3 linked regions of the Arabidopsis thaliana genome follow. The protein of the gene in region 2 interacts with the protein of the main gene of each other region in a biochemical or structural test. Each region holds a gene or a part of one and is shown on either strand. Other genes may lie near its edges.

The links.
Region 1: the proteins of EBP (region 2) and TGA4 form a complex in vitro, tested with the Arabidopsis thaliana proteins (one study listed by BioGRID).
Region 3: the proteins of EBP (region 2) and ACBP4 form a complex in vitro, tested with the Arabidopsis thaliana proteins (one study listed by BioGRID).

Annotation. Positions count from the first base shown.
Region 1 is NC_003076.8:3,138,256-3,145,971, forward strand, and holds the start of TGA4 (TGACG motif-binding factor 4), read right to left. Parts: upstream 5,999-7,716; 5' UTR 5,957-5,998; exon of another isoform or gene 5,945-5,956; intron 5,903-5,944; exon of another isoform or gene 5,732-5,902; coding exon of another isoform or gene 5,468-5,731; intron 2,255-5,467; exon of another isoform or gene 1,084-2,254; 5' UTR 1,041-1,083; coding exon 882-1,040; intron 809-881; coding exon 728-808; intron 652-727; coding exon 592-651; intron 514-591; coding exon 436-513; intron 367-435; coding exon 303-366; intron 223-302; coding exon 1-222. Other genes in the region: AT5G10040 (uncharacterized protein), read left to right, coding at 5,468-5,731; AT5G10050 (NAD(P)-binding Rossmann-fold superfamily protein), read left to right, coding at 5,999-6,338, 6,549-6,708, 7,049-7,388.
Region 2 is NC_003074.8:5,703,675-5,707,620, reverse strand, and holds EBP (ethylene-responsive element binding protein), read right to left. Parts: upstream 2,081-3,946; 5' UTR 1,838-2,080; coding exon 1,678-1,837; intron 1,440-1,677; coding exon 853-1,439; 3' UTR 537-852; downstream 1-536. Other genes in the region: AT3G16760 (Tetratricopeptide repeat (TPR)-like superfamily protein), read right to left, coding at 2,541-2,714, 3,155-3,946.
Region 3 is NC_003074.8:1,559,724-1,567,785, forward strand, and holds ACBP4 (acyl-CoA binding protein 4), read left to right. Parts: upstream 1-1,947; 5' UTR 1,948-2,156; coding exon 2,157-2,315; intron 2,316-2,845; coding exon 2,846-2,916; intron 2,917-3,347; coding exon 3,348-3,411; intron 3,412-3,503; coding exon 3,504-3,575; intron 3,576-3,688; coding exon 3,689-3,883; intron 3,884-3,984; coding exon 3,985-4,062; intron 4,063-4,184; coding exon 4,185-4,295; intron 4,296-4,483; coding exon 4,484-4,550; intron 4,551-4,653; coding exon 4,654-4,715; intron 4,716-4,972; coding exon 4,973-5,112; intron 5,113-5,288; coding exon 5,289-5,415; intron 5,416-5,494; coding exon 5,495-5,609; intron 5,610-5,746; coding exon 5,747-5,835; intron 5,836-5,975; coding exon 5,976-6,059; intron 6,060-6,141; coding exon 6,142-6,324; intron 6,325-6,513; coding exon 6,514-6,660; intron 6,661-6,832; coding exon 6,833-6,892; intron 6,893-7,138; coding exon 7,139-7,324; 3' UTR 7,325-7,613; downstream 7,614-8,062. Other genes in the region: AT3G05410 (Photosystem II reaction center PsbP family protein), read left to right, coding at 1,421-1,733; AT3G05425 (uncharacterized protein), read left to right, coding at 7,751-7,882; AT3G05430 (Tudor/PWWP/MBT superfamily protein), read left to right, coding at 8,022-8,062. UniProt on the Arabidopsis thaliana protein: Binds medium- and long-chain acyl-CoA esters with very high affinity. Can interact in vitro with oleoyl-CoA, barely with palmitoyl-CoA, but not with arachidonyl-CoA. May function as an intracellular carrier of acyl-CoA esters.

The sequences.
Region 1 (7,716 bases), on a different chromosome or scaffold from region 2:
CTGCTGAAGTTTTCCACATTCCGGACATGACATAGAAAACATCGATTTTTGCAGCGGCTGACTTCATTCGGAAGAGTTGAAAGTAATGTTTCATGGCATTCTCGACTAGAGAACGAAGCTCTATATCACTAACTTGTCCATGTAAAACCGTTCTTAGTTCACATATTTGCCTGTTCTGTTCTTCCACCCAATGTCCATATTCCATCTCAAATGCAACAATCCCTAACAAGAAAAAGAAAACTGATGAATCTCAAAATCAAATGGAAACTACCTAAACGCTAAAGGTGAAAGAAGACTCAAACCTGAGCTCATGTTATCTGAGAAACTAAGAGCATTGGTATCTACTCCGTTCCCCACATAGAAACCCTGCAACATTATGATCATATATTATTACATCAACAAGATACTTAAGGAAGAATAATATTTTGTGCAAACCTGTTGTCTAGCACGATCGAGTTCTTGCTCTAAATGAATTAGCTTTAACCGGCTAGTCTCTAGCTGCTGAACATAAGCCTGCAAGAAAATACTCTATAGCTCAGTTTAAAGAAAACAAAACTGTTTTACGAGTTGCAGGAACATAAAGTTTCATACTTTCTTGCGCAAACGACTTTTCCTAGCTGCCTCTCGATTCTGTGCTAGCCTTCTCTGTATCTGTGAAGACATAAAGATTAAAATGACAAAATCTTCAAGGAATTAAGATAACCAAATGAGCTATATTATAACTTACCTTATCAGGATGTCTAGATGTGGAAGCCTCTTGGTCAAACTTGTGAGGAGTTCCTTCTGTCCCATGAGAAGTATCCTCTGACTGAACAAAGATTAAAGCAAGCATTAGTTTCTGAATTCACTTTATCTGAAATATATAGCAAACTTTGAAGTACCAAGCTGTCTGGTTTTTCGTTAGTCGGGATTATGATAGAGCCAGGCGTATACATGTCTCCATTGTTCTTGAAACTTTCTTCCCACATACCGATTTGGTTGAGAGGCTCGTAAACTTCAAACCTTCTCGGTGGAACAAAATGTGTCGAGGTTGTATTCATATTTCTTCAACTAGCAACAAAACAAAAAAAAAAAAATACAAAACTTCATTCATCAAAGTCAAGAATTGCAAAAGATACAAGATCACAAGTTAAAGAGATATGTAAGTGATTTGCAGCCAAAAGCAAAGGTTGTGACATTAAGTCATTATCCATCACCCAATTCGTCAACGCTAGCTACTACCTTCCCTACATCTATAAGCTCCATTGATATGGCGAAACATCGGAGTCATCATATACACCCGAAAAGCCCTGTTCTTTTACTAGTGTCTTTTGAAAGGTTGTCAAATAGATACAAGTCACTGAATTTTGTTCTCAAAACCTCTAATTGCATTTCCAAAAACAGACCAAACTCTAATGTCATTGTCAGTTATTGGTTCCTACTGTATCTTCTTCTTTTAGCCACTAATGGTGGACCATCTTAAACACCTCCCAATAAGGAAAAAAAATCCATTACTCTCACCCAGTGATTTGATATAACATTCTTGTTATAAAAGTCAAGATTCGATTATAAGATATAGAACCAAATTATCACATAGCAAATCATGAAATGGTATATCAGAAGCAACCATCAGAATAAAAGTTACAGCTTCAATAAGAGAATGAAACAGAGAAACACAAAGTTTGAACCTTTTTTTGCAGTCAAGCAGAGATAATGATATTCATATCAACCAAGAGATGAAAATTCAGAAAGAAGAGAGATCCGAAGTCGAACCTTGTTCTGGTCTTTTGTGTCAAAAGGGCTTCAAAAAAGACGAACTTTTCCCGCGGAAACCATGAAAAGAGAAAACTAAAGCTAGATGAACTTTTCACTTTCAGCGACGAAATCGAACGCTAAGCCTAGAAATCTGCAGCTTAAACCGGTCTGATAGAATAAGGGATGGTAAAATCTCGTTCTCTGAACTTGTCATCTCGAAGAAGGAGAAGAAGAATCATTCAAGAGAGAACACGACAACTTTAAAAGAGAGACCTTTGATTGAGTTTTCTAAATTTTTCTATATCCTAATAAATGTCAATAAAAATATATATACTAACATTTATTTCTGTTTTTTTTTTTGGTTTGTTGATTCTTCGGTGATATTTGTCCTTTAAGTATATGTACTAGATACATCAGCTACACAGTCAAAAACCAAATTTTGACATGTTTAAGATACCTTTAAGTCCATAATTTATTCGATTACTAATTTAATTTTGTTTCTGGTTATTCTGTATTTCTCTCATTTGTCATGTCTCCACTACCTCGCTGATGTTACACACCAAGTATATTGGAAAATTATTCAGTAATAATAATTCATACTCTTTTAAGTTTTCCAACGATATATTTATTATCCATCACACGTCAAAGTTTGCGGCGAGTCTCGTCGGTGATGACGTGCCAATTGACGGCACACGCGCGGCTTAGTAGCGCGTGGGAAGAGGGTAAATTACTAAATCATATTATTGTGGTAAGATTTGTCGCGGGAATGAGAGAAGCGGTTAAACTTTCTAACTTCTATGTTGGGATTTATAAGACATCAATCAAAACAAAGTACTTGACATAATCGCAAGCCTGACGTCAAAATAAAAAAATAAGATGCGCGTAGTCATTAGTTTTGATAGTTCTATAGCATGCTGACCAAATATTGGGTTAAGATTACCCAATATATATAAGAGAACAATAATATTGAGGTTTCTCTATAAGCAAAACAAGAGACCGATAAGCATGTAATCTTTAAAGTTTTCAACTTACTAAGCAACGCTTATATAATAAAATTATATCAACATTTAGGCAGGCCTGCATTTAGGTATAGTTTATATCCAGGTTATGCCAACGAAAAAGATTCACATATACGTCTTGTTGTACTATTTGATAATATTTATATACTGAAAAAGATAAACGAACCTTTGCGAAGGAATCACTTAGCTGATAAAGAAATATTGAATTATTTTTGATTTAGAACAGATTGGCTCTTCAACTTGCATTGGAGTCGGAGACATATTTGTGTTGGGTGACCACAACTTCTATCCACTTGCCTCTTTACTAATTATTTTAAACACAACGAATACTAACTAATTTATGTGATTTGGTGCATTTTTCCGTGTAAACAGTATCTAACCAACTTTCCCTTTTCCTTTAGTATGTTATCATACATTCATACGTATATTATTCTTGTTCACGTATTACATTGTTTGCCTGGCAGTAATTAGTTTCCTGACATATTCACACATAATTTTTTCTTTTCCATATGATTAAGGGCTGTGAGTGAAGTCATTTAGCAAACAAAAGAAAGAAGGCTATGAATGAAGACGTCATTGAGGGAAGAGTCCTATGTCGACACAATTTTTTCAAAATATGAATAATGTATTAACAGTATTAGAATACAAAAAACATTAACAATGAAAATAAATAAATTCGAAAAGATATTAATGAGACATGACGCACAAACTCTTTGCTTTTACCTATTTGTGGAATTCTTCCCAAGTGCTATCTTATTAAAAAAAAGTGGTTTGCCACTAAGAGTGGGTGTCGTCACTCTTCTTTTTTCATTTGTATTTTTGGCTAACAATATTCATGTCTTGAATTCAATCTTTGAGTTTTCACGAACCCTGTAATATTTAACTCGACTTCTACATTCTAAAAGATATTATCTTTTAGTTTTGTTTAATTTATAAAATATTATAGAAAGGATTCTATATATGATTGAGTGCCTGAACGTAGAGCCAATCATTCGTGAACGATAAATAGTACACCAAAGATAAAACATTTTATATGAAAGTGATTTATGTTGGCGTGTTAACACCCAGTTAAATGTAGTGTGGTTCAATATTGTTCCCATTTTGAAGCAAAAGCTGAGACGATAAGTTATACATTTTTAATGTCATTCGAATTTACAAACATGGACTTTAATTATCAACTGTTTTTTCGGCACCGGAAATCTTTCGAAAAAGCTTGATTTTTTCCGAATTTTGACTATATAATATGGAAGAACCTAGTCAAGACAATCCGTAGTTGGCGGATAATCCTTAATTTCCCATAAAACTTTTTAGATTATTTGAAAAGTTAAGAATGACAAAATGTTTTGGGATTTGGTCCCGAGCCACTCGACATTTGGAAAAATGTTTTGGACGAAGGGATAAAAAGGATACGAATGCCAGGTAAATCGAAGCAAACTTGAAAGTTTTTTAAGTAATGTTTTAGAGATATTGTTGTTTCTATTTATGTATGCTCAAATGTGAGTGTGTTTGACGTGAAAAGGAACAAAAGAAGGCAGTGCAACTGTAGAAGTAGATCACACTTATCCACTAAATAGGTGTAAAGGTATGATGTTTTTATTCGATGAATTTCATTGCAAGGATTTTCTTGAAACAAATAGATAGATTTGTGAAGTAGCCAATTGAGTAGATTGTTCATATGTACATTTGACTCATAATAGTTTTTATAGCCAAGTTGATTAATTAATCGAAGTAACTTACTTTCTAAATACTCATTATATATATATATATATATATATCTTACATTCTTTCTAAATTTCATATGAATATAATATATCAAATAAAGATATATGTCTTTCTAGAAACAAAAGAAAAAGAACGTAAAATAGGAAGAAAGTAAGAAAATTGAGGAAGTCTTTGCGACATTATCCCCAAGACAAAATGGGAACTATCATCATGTTAAGATTAACTTCCTTTTCTTCTCTTTCCTTTTGGTTCCTACCTTTGACTACATTTTATCTTCTTCTTTTACTTTACTCTTTTCTTCTACTATATTATATAAAAGCTGAATATTTATCAAAAATAAAATACGTATTCTGGTCAACATCTTTCGTCTAATAGTAATTTTGGTTGAAGTAAAAGATAGATAATCTAAAAGAAGATTATTAAAATCGTCGTGGAACGAGACCTATCATTTCCTGATCCCCCGAAACAAAAAATCATGAGTTGTAAGAGCATCCCCATCAGTTTTGAAAGCCCACAAAGAGAAGAAAGATTTAATTTGAAACCAAAAAGTTTTTTTGTCAAAAACTGAAAATGTCGAGAAATGGGCTGTAAGTAAGTTTATATAAAATTGGGCTTGTAACATAAGATTGAGAAATAATAATTTATGGCCCAATAAAGTGTTTTGAACAGATTTGGGTTTCGATAATGAGGAATAAAATGATTTCACAAAAAGTATAATATTATTTGGACAATGCCGACTAATCGAGGTTTTTAAAACCATTGTCTGTAACTAAAACAAGTATTGGTGCACACACGGTATCAATAAACCAACCTAGCCAATTTTCTCTTTAAAGAAACCATCAAAGCCAATAGAAAGTAATGTGATATGATTAACATAAAAAGAAAGTGGAACATTCCTCATTCAAAACCCGCACACTGAAGCCAGTATAAATAGCTTCGTGTATCTTTGGCATAGAATTGGAGACAGACAACTGATATAGGAAGATCCAACAATGGATTCATCGGCGGACATAGCAATATTAGTGGCAGATGAATGTAACCAAAAGGTGAATACAACGGCAGAGAAAGCATCGAATACAGCGGAGGTTGGGTGGTTGATGATGTTTGGGATTGAGGAGAAGAAGATTGAAAGTCTGATGAGGAAATTTGAAGCTAAATCTCAGTTTGCTGTGGCGGTTTCTAGTGGCTTTTTTCTGCTTAACTATGTTTCATCCTTGTACTATAAGTCACGTTTGAACCTCATGCTGGAAATCTAGTTTAGGCATGATGTTACTTTCATTTGCTTCTCTAATCACCAGAGGGCATGTTGCTTTAAGTTTCGAGTTCTACAAGCTTTGGTTTTATACTCTTTTGGGTTAGTTTTTAAGTACAGTTTCTTGTAAGTTAATGGAAACGGTGTCGTAGTAAGAAAAAACAAATCATCGTAGTAATTAAGCCTAATCCGATGCATTAATTAATCTCTGAAATTTGTTGGTTTGCACAAAAAAAAAAATTCCATTGTTGTTGTTCCACGGAACTCTAAAATGGAGAGTGGCGATGAGAGTCCGGTGGTTCTAATTACGGGATGTTCTCAGGGAGGAATTGGTCACGCGCTGGCCCGTGAGTTCACTGAGAAGGGATGTCGAGTGGTGGCGACGAGTCGATCACGGAGTACGATGACGGATCTGGAGCAAGATTCGAGGTTATTCGTGAAGGAGCTTGATGTGCAATCGGACCAGAATGTGAGTAAGGTTTTGTCGGAGGTTATTGATAAGTTCGGTAAGATCGACGTTCTTGTTAATAACGCCGGAGTTCAGTGCGTTGGACCTCTGGCGGAGACTCCAATTTCCGCCATGGAAAACACATTCAACACCAATGTTTTTGGTAATAAAGATTTGATTTTTAGTTTCAATTATTACATTTATTGGAGCTTCAACAGTTCTGGTTTTTTTGCTTATTAGTGAATCATTGGAATTTACAATCCATTTCAAATGTTGATTCTGTGGACATTCAAGGAACTCAAATACGTGTTGATCATGTGTGTTGCGTTTGGGCTGTTAGGAGAGTTTTGAAGAAGTGAATTTTTCAATGCAGGTTCCATGAGGATGACTCAAGCTGTTGTACCACACATGGTGTCTAAGAAAAAGGGAAAGATTGTCAACGTTGGAAGTATCACTGTTATGGCACCTGGTCCATGGGCTGGTGTCTATACAGCTACCAAAGCTGCTATTCATGCTCTTACCGATACTCTGAGGTTTGCTTTTACCGTTTTCAGATTTGGTTCCACTGTTTTAACTTATCAAACGCCGCTATTTGTGTCGTTTGAATAATCTTCCTATGTCGCATGCTGATATATATTCTGTTTGTTCTGTCAATGGAGATTTGATGGTAGTAAACTAAAAATTGTTGAAATGGTCTAATCTTTTTTTAAGGTGTGATCAAACTTGAGTATCATTATTTCTGAGGACTAAAGTCTGATGTTGGGTTAGGTTGATGATTCTTGATGTTCATGACAAGTGTAGTTGTTCAAATTATCCAGCACCGGATGGTTTTGGTTTGTCAATTGTTTTGTAATGTTTCCTGCTTAACGTCAGGTTGGAGCTTCGTCCGTTTGGGATTGATGTCATCAATGTTGTCCCGGGAGGAATAAGAACAAACATAGCAAACTCAGCTGTGGCAACTTTCAACAAAATGCCTGAGCTGAAACTATACAAGCCTTATGAAGAAGCTATCAGAGAAAGGGCGTTTATATCACAGAGGATGAATCCAACTCCTGCAGAAACATTTGCCAGAGACACTGTAGCCGCAGTGCTGAAGAAGAATCCACCCGCTTGGTTCTCGTCAGGCAGGTATTCAACCCTCATGGCAGTCATGTATCATATGCCCTTATGGCTCAAAGATTTTTTCCAGAAGCAGGTTTTAATGAAGAAGTGATAATCAGGTTGGGGTTTAAGACAGAATGTACCTTAAACACGAATGTAAAAGCTTTGTTCAAATTGTTAATTGAATCTCTTATGTCTCCATGTTTGAGTCAGTTCGGTTCTTAAGGTATAGAAGTATACATACATACAGGAAGGAGATAGAGAGTGAACAGGAGAAATTATTACATTATGTTGTAGAAACTTGTGGTACAAATATCTGTAACGGGAAAAGGTGAGGATTCTACAACCAGAGGAACAGTAGTTCTACTTTGATTTGACCCAACAATGTAACATCGAAACCGCATTCGAGCAGATAAAAAGGGTCAGAACTATCTAAAGCT
Region 2 (3,946 bases):
TAATTTAAACAATTAAAATCCTTCAATTATAAATTTGTATTTTATTGTTTAGGTTACGGTATAAAGTAAAATACAATGAATAATTTTTTTTTAATAGATTATTAGTTTATGAAATATTTGTAACTTACATCTAAAATACTAAATCCAAATTTGATCTCACTTGTAAGTTTTTTTCTTTCTTCCGAATGTTAATTTGTAAGTTGTTGCCATTGTTTTTGTTCTTCATTAATCTTGAAACTGTTAAAATCAAGATATCTCACAATTCCAATTCTCGATAGAGCAAACGGATCAGACCTTTTCCATAAATATTACATGTAAAGTAGTGAAAAAGATGTATGTACTCACTACTCATAAATCATCATACGTATAACCCTTTTCATAGACATACGAGAATTATACGTATAAGAATTGAGAAAGGCTGCAAATTCTTCTGTGTATTCCCACTATACTGGTACCATCACCTTTTTCCATAAAAACCACTATTTGTTAATTTTTGTCAATAAAAACCCTAGAATTATTCCACCTAACCTAATAATAACAAGTTAGGAACCCCTGTTTGATATACAAACTAATTCCCATTAGTTTCAGGAATCAGGACTACCACAAAACAGTTAAGAAGTTATAAGTACTTCGTCTTACATTACAAATCTTATTTACACATGTAAGTTTTTCCATCTAAGAAACTAATAATACCACAAACCGTAATATAACGTCCATTTGGTCACATTCTACACATTACACAACAGACATCATCAGCAGTCCAATGCGACGGTAAAAACCTTTTAAAAGTAACGGCGGTTACATATATATTACAGACTTTATTTAACTTTTTTTAAACTTATTTTTTTTCTTTTACTCATACGACGCAATGACATCATCAAGCATCCACATATCCACCTCGGAAACGGACTCATCAAGCTGACTCGGTTGCTCCGCCGTGTTACCGTCCAGCTCAAGGAACGATTCCAAGCTCGATATCTGCTGTTTCAGATCATAATCCGGCTCAAATCCGTAACTCAGGTTCTGAAACTCGTCCCCATTTCCAAATCCTATACACTCCACCGGGAAACTCGGCTGACTTAACTCGCTCTCACTCTGAGAGACAACGCAGACCTTCTTCGCCGGAGGCTGATCGGTTGATCGTGGCGATGACGGCGGAGGAGTATAATTAGGAGGAGGAGGATGGTGCAGATCTGGGAAGTTGAGCTTGGCTTTATCACCACGGATCTGCTTGGCCGCAACATCATAAGCCATGGCAGCTTCCTCCGCCGTGTTGAACGTACCAAGCCAAACTCTAACACCTTTTCGTGGATCTCGAATCTCAGCCGCCCATTTTCCCCATGGACGCTTACGTATCCCTCTATAAACATTCTTCCTCTTCCTCCGTTTCCCCGGCTCTGTTGCCTGCTCCTTCTTCACTGCCTCCTCTTTCACGTTAACTTCAAAATTTTCACCGGATTCCCCAAAGTTCAAAATTTACAATTTTAACCCCACACAGATAATTAAATAATCCTGATAAATTACATTACCAAAACCACAAATATTTTTTTTTTATCATCTTCCGTAAGTTCCAGAAATATTATTTTACCTTTTTGCTAAAAAGGTTAGAAAAAACTATATGTTTGTGTTTTTGAATGATTTTGTATTTTTGTTTATGATTAATAGGAGAGTACATACCTTGGTTGGTGGGATGGAGTTTGGAGGTGGAATAGAAACCCCAGAAGTCGTCGGCGGCGGAAGCATCGAGCTCTGACCAGAGTTCCTCAGCCGTGAGTTTACGGCCCTTGGCCTTGGTGACGAGAGGGGCATAATCGGAAATAATAGCACCGCCACACATTTTCTCTGTTTGTTGCTGTGGGTTTCTTTCAAGAGAAAGTTTCCTACGGTGGAGCTGAAATGCCTTTATAGGCGCAAAATAAATGTTTTATGGTAATAAAGTGTGAGTGAAATGAATTACTTTATATTAGAATAATAATTCTAATAGTTTTATGTTCCTTGATACATGACGGTTACAACAAATTGAAGGCTAATCCACATAACGACAAAATTGTAAGCCTTTTTTTGGCTCTCTGAATACAAAACGTATCACAATGTGATTAGTTTAGTTTTCGGTATTGAAGTGTTGTGTCCACGAGCGTCTGGTAATTTAATAGTATGCGTTATGCGTCTCACGTCCATCACGCAGGCAGCGTCTCAAAGTAAGGTTCATCTTTGCGAGTTACGATGCGAAATTTACGGTCATCTTTGGCATTTCATATGACATCGATGATCAAACATTTCATGATAAACTCAAAAAAAATTAGTGTGTAAGAAAATCAACAACATATAAATGCACCATCCAAAAAAATACACTCATGACCCACTTACTACAAGAAGCTGCCGCATTATAGACGAACCAATAAATCTCAGAAAAAAAATACACACACGCATGGTCCATGGATGAGAGAGGAAACGGTATTGAGCAAAGCAATGTGAAGGATTATAGATATTTGAGGGTTTTTTGTTTTTTTTCTTTGAGTAGTATCCGTATATATGAAGGATCAACCAGCCATTTTGGTTAGGCGGTGAACAGTACTTCTAGCGATTCTATTCCCGGGATCAATCTTTAGAACCATCCTTAGGTCTTCAGCTCCGAGTTTGTATTTCTCCATGCTCTCGTATAACAGTGCTCGTTGAACCAGAATGGTCACATTCTTCTTGTCGTGATCAAGTACCTGCAATCACGTTTTCAAAGTGAACAAAAAACATCTGTGAAGCATAACTGACAATCAGAACAAGTTTCGAAGATGTTGGTTTTGTTCTGAGTCTACAAGAAACCATCTATGGAGCATAACAACCAATCAACTAGCTACGATGACGCGATCCCAAGAACTGTTTAGTTGTGGTATATTTTCCTACAAAGCAAGACACTAAAACTTTCTATACGTGCACAGTATTTCTAACTCGTAATCTATCTTAAGATTCCATAAGAACCTAAATCTCATATTGTCAAGTTTCATATACCTGAAAACTCTTATCAGTATCAATTTCATCAAGAGTCCTTAAACTGATTCCAATACAACTAGAGACTTCGTAAACTAAGGATCTGAGATGAGAATGATATGAACCATGGTCCATGATGCATCCAAAGAAAAATGTGCCTTTCTTAACATACCTTTGTGCAGTCGGCTACAGCTTTCTTATACTCTCCAACTTCTTTGTAACACGAAGCCCTTGTTGAAAGAACCTCGGCTGATCCAGCTTCATCACCAGCTCTATCCATAAGAATCACAGCCCAAGAGAGCCACTTTATGGCATCAGCATACTGACCTTGTCTCTGGTTATCAATGCCCTTGTTCTTAGCTGATGTAGCTGATACACCCGGTGGAGGCGGTGGCAAACCATCAAGCTCGGTGGTGGAACCAGCCCCACCGTCAAAACTTTCAAATCCCCAATCTTCGGTCTGTGGCGTAGGTGGTGCAGCTGAGGGTTTGGAATTAGAGAACATTCCTAATGGATCATCGTTTGCACTCGAAGATTGTGGACCACTTGGTTGCACACCAAAATCAACGTTTGAAGCATTGAAGCTACCTCCTGATGAGAATGTGTTTGATTTCGAAGCCTGGAAACCCCCAAAGTCGTTGATTTGAGTAGTTGTTCCCGTAGAACCGCCACTGTTAAGGTTCGACACTCCTTGAAAATTCCCAAAAGTATCATTCTGTGCATTGTTGTTAACCTTTCCTGGTTTGCTTCCTGATGATTTTGATCCGAAACCAACCAAAGAACCAAATGGATCACTATTCGAAGGAAGACCAGACCCATTTAGATTGCCCCCAGCCATATTTTTCATTGAAGGACCTCCAAGATTAGCATTAAAACCACCGGAGCTCGTGTAACCACCAGAAAAACCACTCGGATTACTGCTATAACCCATACCACCACCAGTTTTCATCGAATTACCAGATTT
Region 3 (8,062 bases), 4.1 Mb from region 2:
CAGCAACTCTCACTGTGGTAGCAGAAGCAGAAGGATCCGCTAAAACTTCACCTTCTTCTAGCTCACTTTCTATCACCAGCGCTGGAGGCTTGAGCTTACTCACACAAACATCCACTAGGTGACCCCACTTACTACAACAAGTGCATTTGGGAGGCAACCAGGGGTAAATAAACTCCACGATAACATCTTTTTCCTCCTCAATTTTGAACCTGTGACACTTTGGAACGTCTTGCGAAAGATTTACTTCAACAAAAACTTTAGCTTCATCAAACTTTGTGCATAATTCTGTTTCAGGATGTAACCGTATTGGATTTCCTACTGAACTTGTAATAAAACTCAAACCATCCCAGGAGAACATGGAATGAGGAACATTCTTCACTGTGACCCACAACGGCATTGTTTTAATCTCTGGCTGGGCTTCTTCTTTAATCGGAGACCACTTGGCAACAATCATTGGTAAACCAGCAATGTTCCACATCCCTCTTCTGACTATTCTCGAACGCGTGGCGGAGTCACGGATTCGAAACTTTACTGAAGTAGAGTCTATCTCATAGACGTCAATCTTAATTGCTTTGTCCCCAAGAGTCCAGATCTTATTGACTATGACATGGATCTTAGCGACATGCGGAGCTTGTGATGGGAACCGTCCCACCAGAAAATCATCCCAGAGAGGGACAGATTCAGTGATAACTTCTTTCGGAACTGCAATGGTTGGGACACCGTCTTGCACAGAGACTTCATATTCATCTTTTTTCAGAGAAGGCCGTTTAGTAACTACTGCTGCATAGGACTTTTGCTGGACAGATCCAGATGGAGAACCAACTGTTCCTGCCTCAGAAGAGACTGGTAAAACCTGGTCGGACATGAGAAACCGACGGCAAGCCGCCGCTGAAACCCTAGCTTGCTGAAAAAGAATGAAAACCCTAGTCGCCAAGAAAATCGCCCTAGAGCTGACGTGTCATTAAAAAAAAAAAACATCATTCTTATAGTAGAAACATTTGATTGTTCTGTGGTAACTGGTAACGACTAAGTGATATGGTTTACTAGATCTTGCAAACAAATCTAATTGATCATGAGAAAAAATTGTAAGACTAGATCGATTATTTTAGTGGTCTAACAACTAGTTTCAAAGTTGTAATTTTCAAGATTGTTTATTACATTTAGTACATGTTTGAAGTGAAACAATATATCTCAATGTAAGTACATGATTCTCTTTACTACTTTGAATCTATCACAGAAGTTAGTGCAGACACCCGATTCGCTATGATTGTTAAGATCATAAAGTGACCTAGATCGATGAGCATCAATGTTTTTTTTTTTCTTTTGCCAATAAGCATCAATGTTTTCTTGACGAGCAATTGTCATTTTATTTCAAGAAGCGGAATCTGTTTTATGAAAGTGTTTATTGTTTACGATATAGAATCGAAGCGTTTGGAGGGCCAAAAGAAGTAGGAGAGGCAATAGTAAGAACAGTGACAGGATCTGGTCAACGAGCAGATTTGAAAGGAACTTTGCTAGAATCAAGTATCAGACAAGATTCAGAGAGAAACTTGAAGTACTACGAGTTGGAGTTTAAAGTCGAATCACCTCTTTTCCGGCGGCATAATGTAGCCGTTTGTTGCGCTCACAGTGGCCGGCTTTATACACTGAACGCTCAAGCGCCAGAGTCAGCTTGGTCAGAGGTGAAATCGGAAATTTACACTACTGCGAAATCGTTCAATATAATTTCTTGAATGTAAAGGATCGGAAAACAAATTGTAAAAACCCAAAAAGAAACAAGATACTACAAAGCAAAGCTTATTTTTTCTTCATATTGATAGGGTCTCTTTGTTTTTCTTAATTAATTCACACTATTGAGTTGATTACGATGATTAAGGTCAAAAATACGAAGTGACAATAAAAAGAGAAAAGTTTCGAGCATAATCATGTCTTCTTGATCGTGCCGCTCGCTATATAAACACTGCACCAAGCAATTACTATAATTTTTGATCAATTAAATATTAAATTTTGAGAATATGTTTCTATATTAATGAAAATAATTTAAAGTAATCATAAGTTTGTATCTTTGAACAAACGAAACTAGAAAACGCCTATCTCTGCTCATTGGCTTCTCCATCTCCGATCAAATCCGCGGTCGTAGTCAGAGAGAGAGACAAATGGCTATGCCTAGGGCAACCTCTGGTCCCGCTTACCCGGAGAGGTTCTACGCTGCTGCATCTTATGTCGGTCTCGACGGATCTGATTCGTCGGCGAAAAACGTCATCTCGAAATTCCCCGATGATACTGCACTACTTCTCTATGCGCTATACCAGCAGGTCAGCAACTTCCATTTCTGATCTCTTCCATTGTTGATCTCACGATTGTGGATTTTGCTTTTGAATTTCACGAGATCTGGTCGTTTGGGTGTTGATTTCTTTGTTTTAGTCACCGATTCATATTCCTCTCGCCGAATTCTTATCGGATTTTAGAAATGACGCACTTTACTTGTCTGATTAGCTGTGCTTGATCGTTATTTTCGATCCTGGTTAGTATATTCGAAATGCTCAGTAAAATGTTACCCGAGATCTCATCACGATTTGATTGGAAACATGATTGAAACAGTTTTATTTTATTAGATCTCAGGGAGCGTTGGTCCGTCAGTCGTAGTTTACTTGGATCTACATTGATTCTATAACTTGATTAGTATAGTCGTAGATGAATTTCTTACGAGGGGGTGAAACTGGCTGTTCCTTAACATAGAGAGAAACGTTCTCTTGTACTAATTATAATGTCGAGTCTACTAGTTTTTATCCCTGGGATAGATAGGCTCAGTGCTGATGATCTCTTGGATTTAACATTGAAACAGGCTACTGTAGGACCATGCAACACTCCGAAACCTAGTGCCTGGAGACCAGTGGAGCAAAGCAAATGGAAAAGGTTAGATTGGGTGCTGTGTTTTGCCCATACTTATCTACGATTAACATTTATGCATTTATCACTGGTTCTTTTATTTCTATTCTTGCGTTTGTGAATCATACTTGTAGGAATATGCTTCATGGTAGATATTAATAGGAGATGTCTTAGATTTCATCAATTACTAGAGCGTAAGAATCCAAATGCATTAGGGAAACGGGAAAGGAGTACTTTAGTGTAAGCTACTAGAGGAAAATAGAAATGCAGGATTTGAATGTGCATCCCTGGGGAAAAAAACTAAGTGCTTACCTATGTTTTGGACCTTTTGGTCTACATTACTGAGGTTGTTAATGCTTACGATCCTTTTTAAAGGAAAATAAGACTTTAAAGTTGTCCTCGTTCCTTTCCTGAAAGATACACATGCTACTGTTCTGAAGCATTTCATATTTACTTAGTTGGCAGGGGCTCGGAACCATGCCCTCCATTGAGGCAATGCGTCTCTTTGTGAAAATTCTGGAGGTAACCGACAAAGAGGTCTATTTTTTTTTTTTTTTTAAAGACTTAACTGGAGCATAACCTTGCTTTCTTCTCTATTGCTCAATTTTTATCAGGAAGATGATCCTGGTTGGTATTCGAGGGCATCTAATGATATTCCAGATCCTGTTGTAGATGTCCAAATTAATGTAAGTTTTGGTATCCCATGGGATTCGATGTCCAAACCATGGGAACTATTACACATATCTTTTGCTTGATTGAAGAAAATTATTTGAGTTTTTTAGTGCATTCATCTTTGTAGCAGAGAGCAAAAGATGAGCCTGTTGTTGAGAATGGGAGCACATTTAGTGAGACAAAAACAATTTCTACGGAGAATGGACGTTTGGCTGAAACCCAAGATAAAGATGTAGTCTCAGAAGACTCAAATACTGTTTCTGTATATAACCAGTGGACTGCACCCCAAACATCAGGTCAGCGTCCAAAAGCTCGTTACGAGGTAATTTATTTTTTCTCTCTCTTTTGAAGAATAAGTAAAAGGTTATGTCATTCATGTATCTTCTGTATTTTTCTAAGTCTTGTTTATTATATTTTTTTCAGCATGGCGCAGCAGTTATTCAAGATAAGATGTATATATATGGTGGAAATCACAATGGCCGTTACCTTGGTGATCTTCATGTAAGCAACCTCTATGGTTTATAAGCATAAGCTCCTAATGTAATTGAGATATTCAGCTCCTAGCTTGACAATACCAGTCCCGGTGACAGTTCCTAAGCAAAGCTTCTGTGGAATGTATACAGGTTCTAGATTTAAAAAGTTGGACTTGGTCAAGAGTTGAAACCAAGGTTGCAACAGAATCTCAGGAAACATCAACTCCGACATTGTTAGCTCCTTGTGCTGGTCATTCTTTGGTAAGTTTATTAACTTTTTCGTTTTGTTTTTGTTATTATCGTTTTGCTTTCCTGCCCAGAAATATTCAGGAGAGGGGTTTCAGCTAAAGCAAAGTATTCTCTTCATGAAAGTCACTTGCTATATTAGTTTGTAATAAAGAAGACTCTAGCTATACATTATTCACTTACCTTCTTTGCTTGTTTTGTAGATAGCATGGGACAACAAGCTGCTGTCTATCGGTGGTCACACAAAGGATCCCTCAGAATCTATGCAAGGTTAGCGTTTATATACCTTTGAAGACGATAATTTGCACATATTTATAAGATTTTTCTGGAATCTCAATGATTACATATCACTTTCTACTGTTTCCTGTCACAGTGAAGGTCTTTGATCCCCATACCATTACATGGTCAATGTTAAAGACATATGGAAAACCACCGGTATATCTTCACTTCTCTCATGTTGTCTCATTTGCTTTCCTGTCACCTTTGTATGAAAATATTACAGTTTTATACAAAAAAAAATTTGGCCGTCAAAAGACAAAAAAATAAAAGTTGTTTTCTTTCCTTACCCTCCCATAATATCTTCAGGGTTAAGGTGCATCTAAATCCAGAATTTCTCCTTGCTAATTTGGAAGTCAAATATGCATTTTGGTTACTTAAATTTAGACTTTCTTATAATTATCTCTTGCTTTTAGGTTTCACGTGGAGGCCAGTCAGTTACAATGGTGGGTAAAACCTTGGTGATATTTGGCGGGCAAGATGCAAAGAGATCACTTCTGAACGATTTGCATATACTTGACCTAGACACGATGACCTGGGATGAGATAGATGCCGTGTAAGATTTTATGATGTTTCTGCATTTTGTTCTCTTTCGAAGAAGTCAAACCCATTTAAGATTAGATATATAACCAGAATATGAATATGTTAGAAATCGACCTCCTATCTCCTTTAGTATCTTAGTCGTTATTGAAAGATTAGCAATTCAGGATTTAAATTGGTGTCAAATTGCAGGGGTGTATCTCCATCTCCGAGGTCTGATCATGCTGCTGCAGTGCATGCAGAACGGTTCCTTCTTATCTTTGGTGGCGGCTCACATGCAACCTGTTTCGATGACCTGCATGTCCTTGATTTGCAAACTGTAAGTTAAGCTAAGAGTCTATTCTTTCAGCTGCTCTCAAACATGCTTTGTCAGCCTCTGATATAATTGTCACATATAGATGGAGTGGTCAAGACCAGCACAGCAAGGTGATGCACCAACTCCAAGAGCTGGACATGCTGGCGTGACAATTGGGGAGAACTGGTTTATTGTTGGTGGCGGTGATAACAAGAGTGGTATGTTAATGCACTTTTCCCTTGGAAATTTTCTCTTCCCAACCGTTCTGTTTATCACCCCCTAGAACAAAAGATATTTGCTTGGGTTTTTTTTTTTGTGTGTGTGGGGTGACTAATTTTGTGACAAATTACTGCAGGGGCATCGGAGAGTGTTGTACTAAACATGTCAACTCTTGCATGGTCGGTCGTTGCTTCAGTTCAAGGACGTGTACCTCTTGCTAGCGAGGTACTTAAATAAACAGACTTTATCCATATTAATTCCCAGATAGCTATACAAATAAACACGGTAGAAGCCTTTTCAAGACTTCGAAAAAAGTCAAGTCATGCTTATTTCATTTCCATCGTCCTTTCCTTTGCTACTGACAGGGATTAAGTTTAGTGGTGAGTTCATACAATGGTGAAGATGTACTAGTCGCTTTTGGTGGATACAATGGACGTTACAATAACGAAGTAGGGACTGTGATCTGAACCCATAAGTTCATTTCTCTTAATTTTTCATTTAGTTCTGCTTCTAATTCTTATCTGGCATTAGATTAATCTTCTTAAACCAAGCCACAAATCAACATTGCAAACAAAGACTCTGGAAGCGCCTTTGCCAGGTAGTCTTTCTGCTGTTAATAATGCCACAACCAGAGACATTGAGTCTGAGGTTGAGGTGAGCCAAGAAGGCAGGGTACGGGAAATTGTCATGGACAATGTTAACCCTGGATCAAAGGTATCTTCTTGTCAAATTTCCCTCCTTAATATATTTTGCATAGCACCACCTTTTGATTTGTTTGAGAGAATTGAAGCATCTTATGCATATATGCTGTGGTAGTGATTGTGTCGACACAGAATATAGTTACTCCAGTCCGGATCATCACCTTCTCGCACTCTTATTATGTTTTGGGTGATTAATCCCCAGGTTGAAGGAAACAGCGAACGCATTATTGCGACTATTAAATCTGAGAAGGAAGAGCTGGAGGCATCACTGAACAAAGAGAGGATGCAGACTCTCCAACTAAGGCAAGAGTTAGGAGAAGCAGAATTACGAAACACAGATTTGTACAAGGTACTAATATTATCACCTTCTTAAAACAGAAGCCGACATGAATAAATTGGTGAACCAATCGTTCATAAAGACTGGTTGCAGCAGTCTTCCAATTGCATTCACATTTAACATCTGAAATCTCGGAATTTTTCCTCGAATATGATATACCTAACTTTGTACTGACATTTTGTAGGAACTTCAATCTGTTCGTGGCCAACTTGCAGCCGAACAATCAAGGTGTTTCAAACTGGAGGTACTAAACCGTAGCCACATCTCTTTTGTACCATAACCTACAGAATTTGGAATCTCGTGAAACCCGTGATTTAATGACTACATATACTCATATTCCAGGATGAATAGGAATCTTGATTAGAACATTCATCCATTGTAACCACTGGATCTATCACATATCTTCTCTGTCATTTATTGATAAGCTTCATCACGTCATAAGAACAAAAACAAAGCAAATCTAATTGGGTCACTTTCTCCGAATCTGCAGGTTGATGTTGCAGAGCTAAGACAAAAGCTTCAAACATTGGAAACACTACAGAAGGAACTCGAACTCCTGCAACGTCAAAAGGCTGCCTCAGAACAAGCTGCAATGAACGCTAAACGACAGGGCTCGGGTGGCGTATGGGGCTGGCTCGCTGGAAGCCCTCAGGAAAAAGATGATGATTCGCCTTGATCATTTTTGGTCCGGTAATGCCATTTTCCTCCGGACGATATTTGCTTTCAGTAAAGAAATATATATAGTTTTTTTTGTCTGAGTCTCTCGCATTGTTTCTTCTTCCAATAAGATATTTTTTTAGCGAGCTTTGATTACTACCGATGTTTAGCTTTGTTCTCTGTTATACAAGTGATTCACCAGAATATTCGTTAACTTTTTTGAAATATTTGTTTTGGGAGTGTCTGACAAAATTATGAAAACTAAATCAGTTTACGATCAGCAATCATAATTTTCTTATATTTACGAGTCTCTTACTCTCTTCACTCTTTAGTCTTCGTTTGCATTAAAAATTAAATTAAATTTACCTCACTTCGTAAGTGGACAAAAAATCACGTTTTAGGCAGCAAAATAAAATAAAATAAAAAGATCACGTTTTTTTGTCCCATGACGTGGCAACCTATTACTGGATGGGAAGTTCGACCGTTCACCATCACCATTTATGACGCTGAGAAGTTACCAAAATGTCCTTCTCACCAAGTGATGCTTTTGTCATCTTCTCCAGCTTTACTCTCATGAAATTTCTTAAATTTTCTCTTCCAGCAAACAATCTCAGGATTTAAACAAAGTTACGCATCTTCTGGCTTCGAGTTGTTTCTAGGGTTTCATTGTTATGAAAGCTCTTTAACACCGAGGGTTCAAGTGTGGTTAGAGAGAAATGAATTCGGCTGAGGTGAATGTGAATCCTAGGGTTTTTGG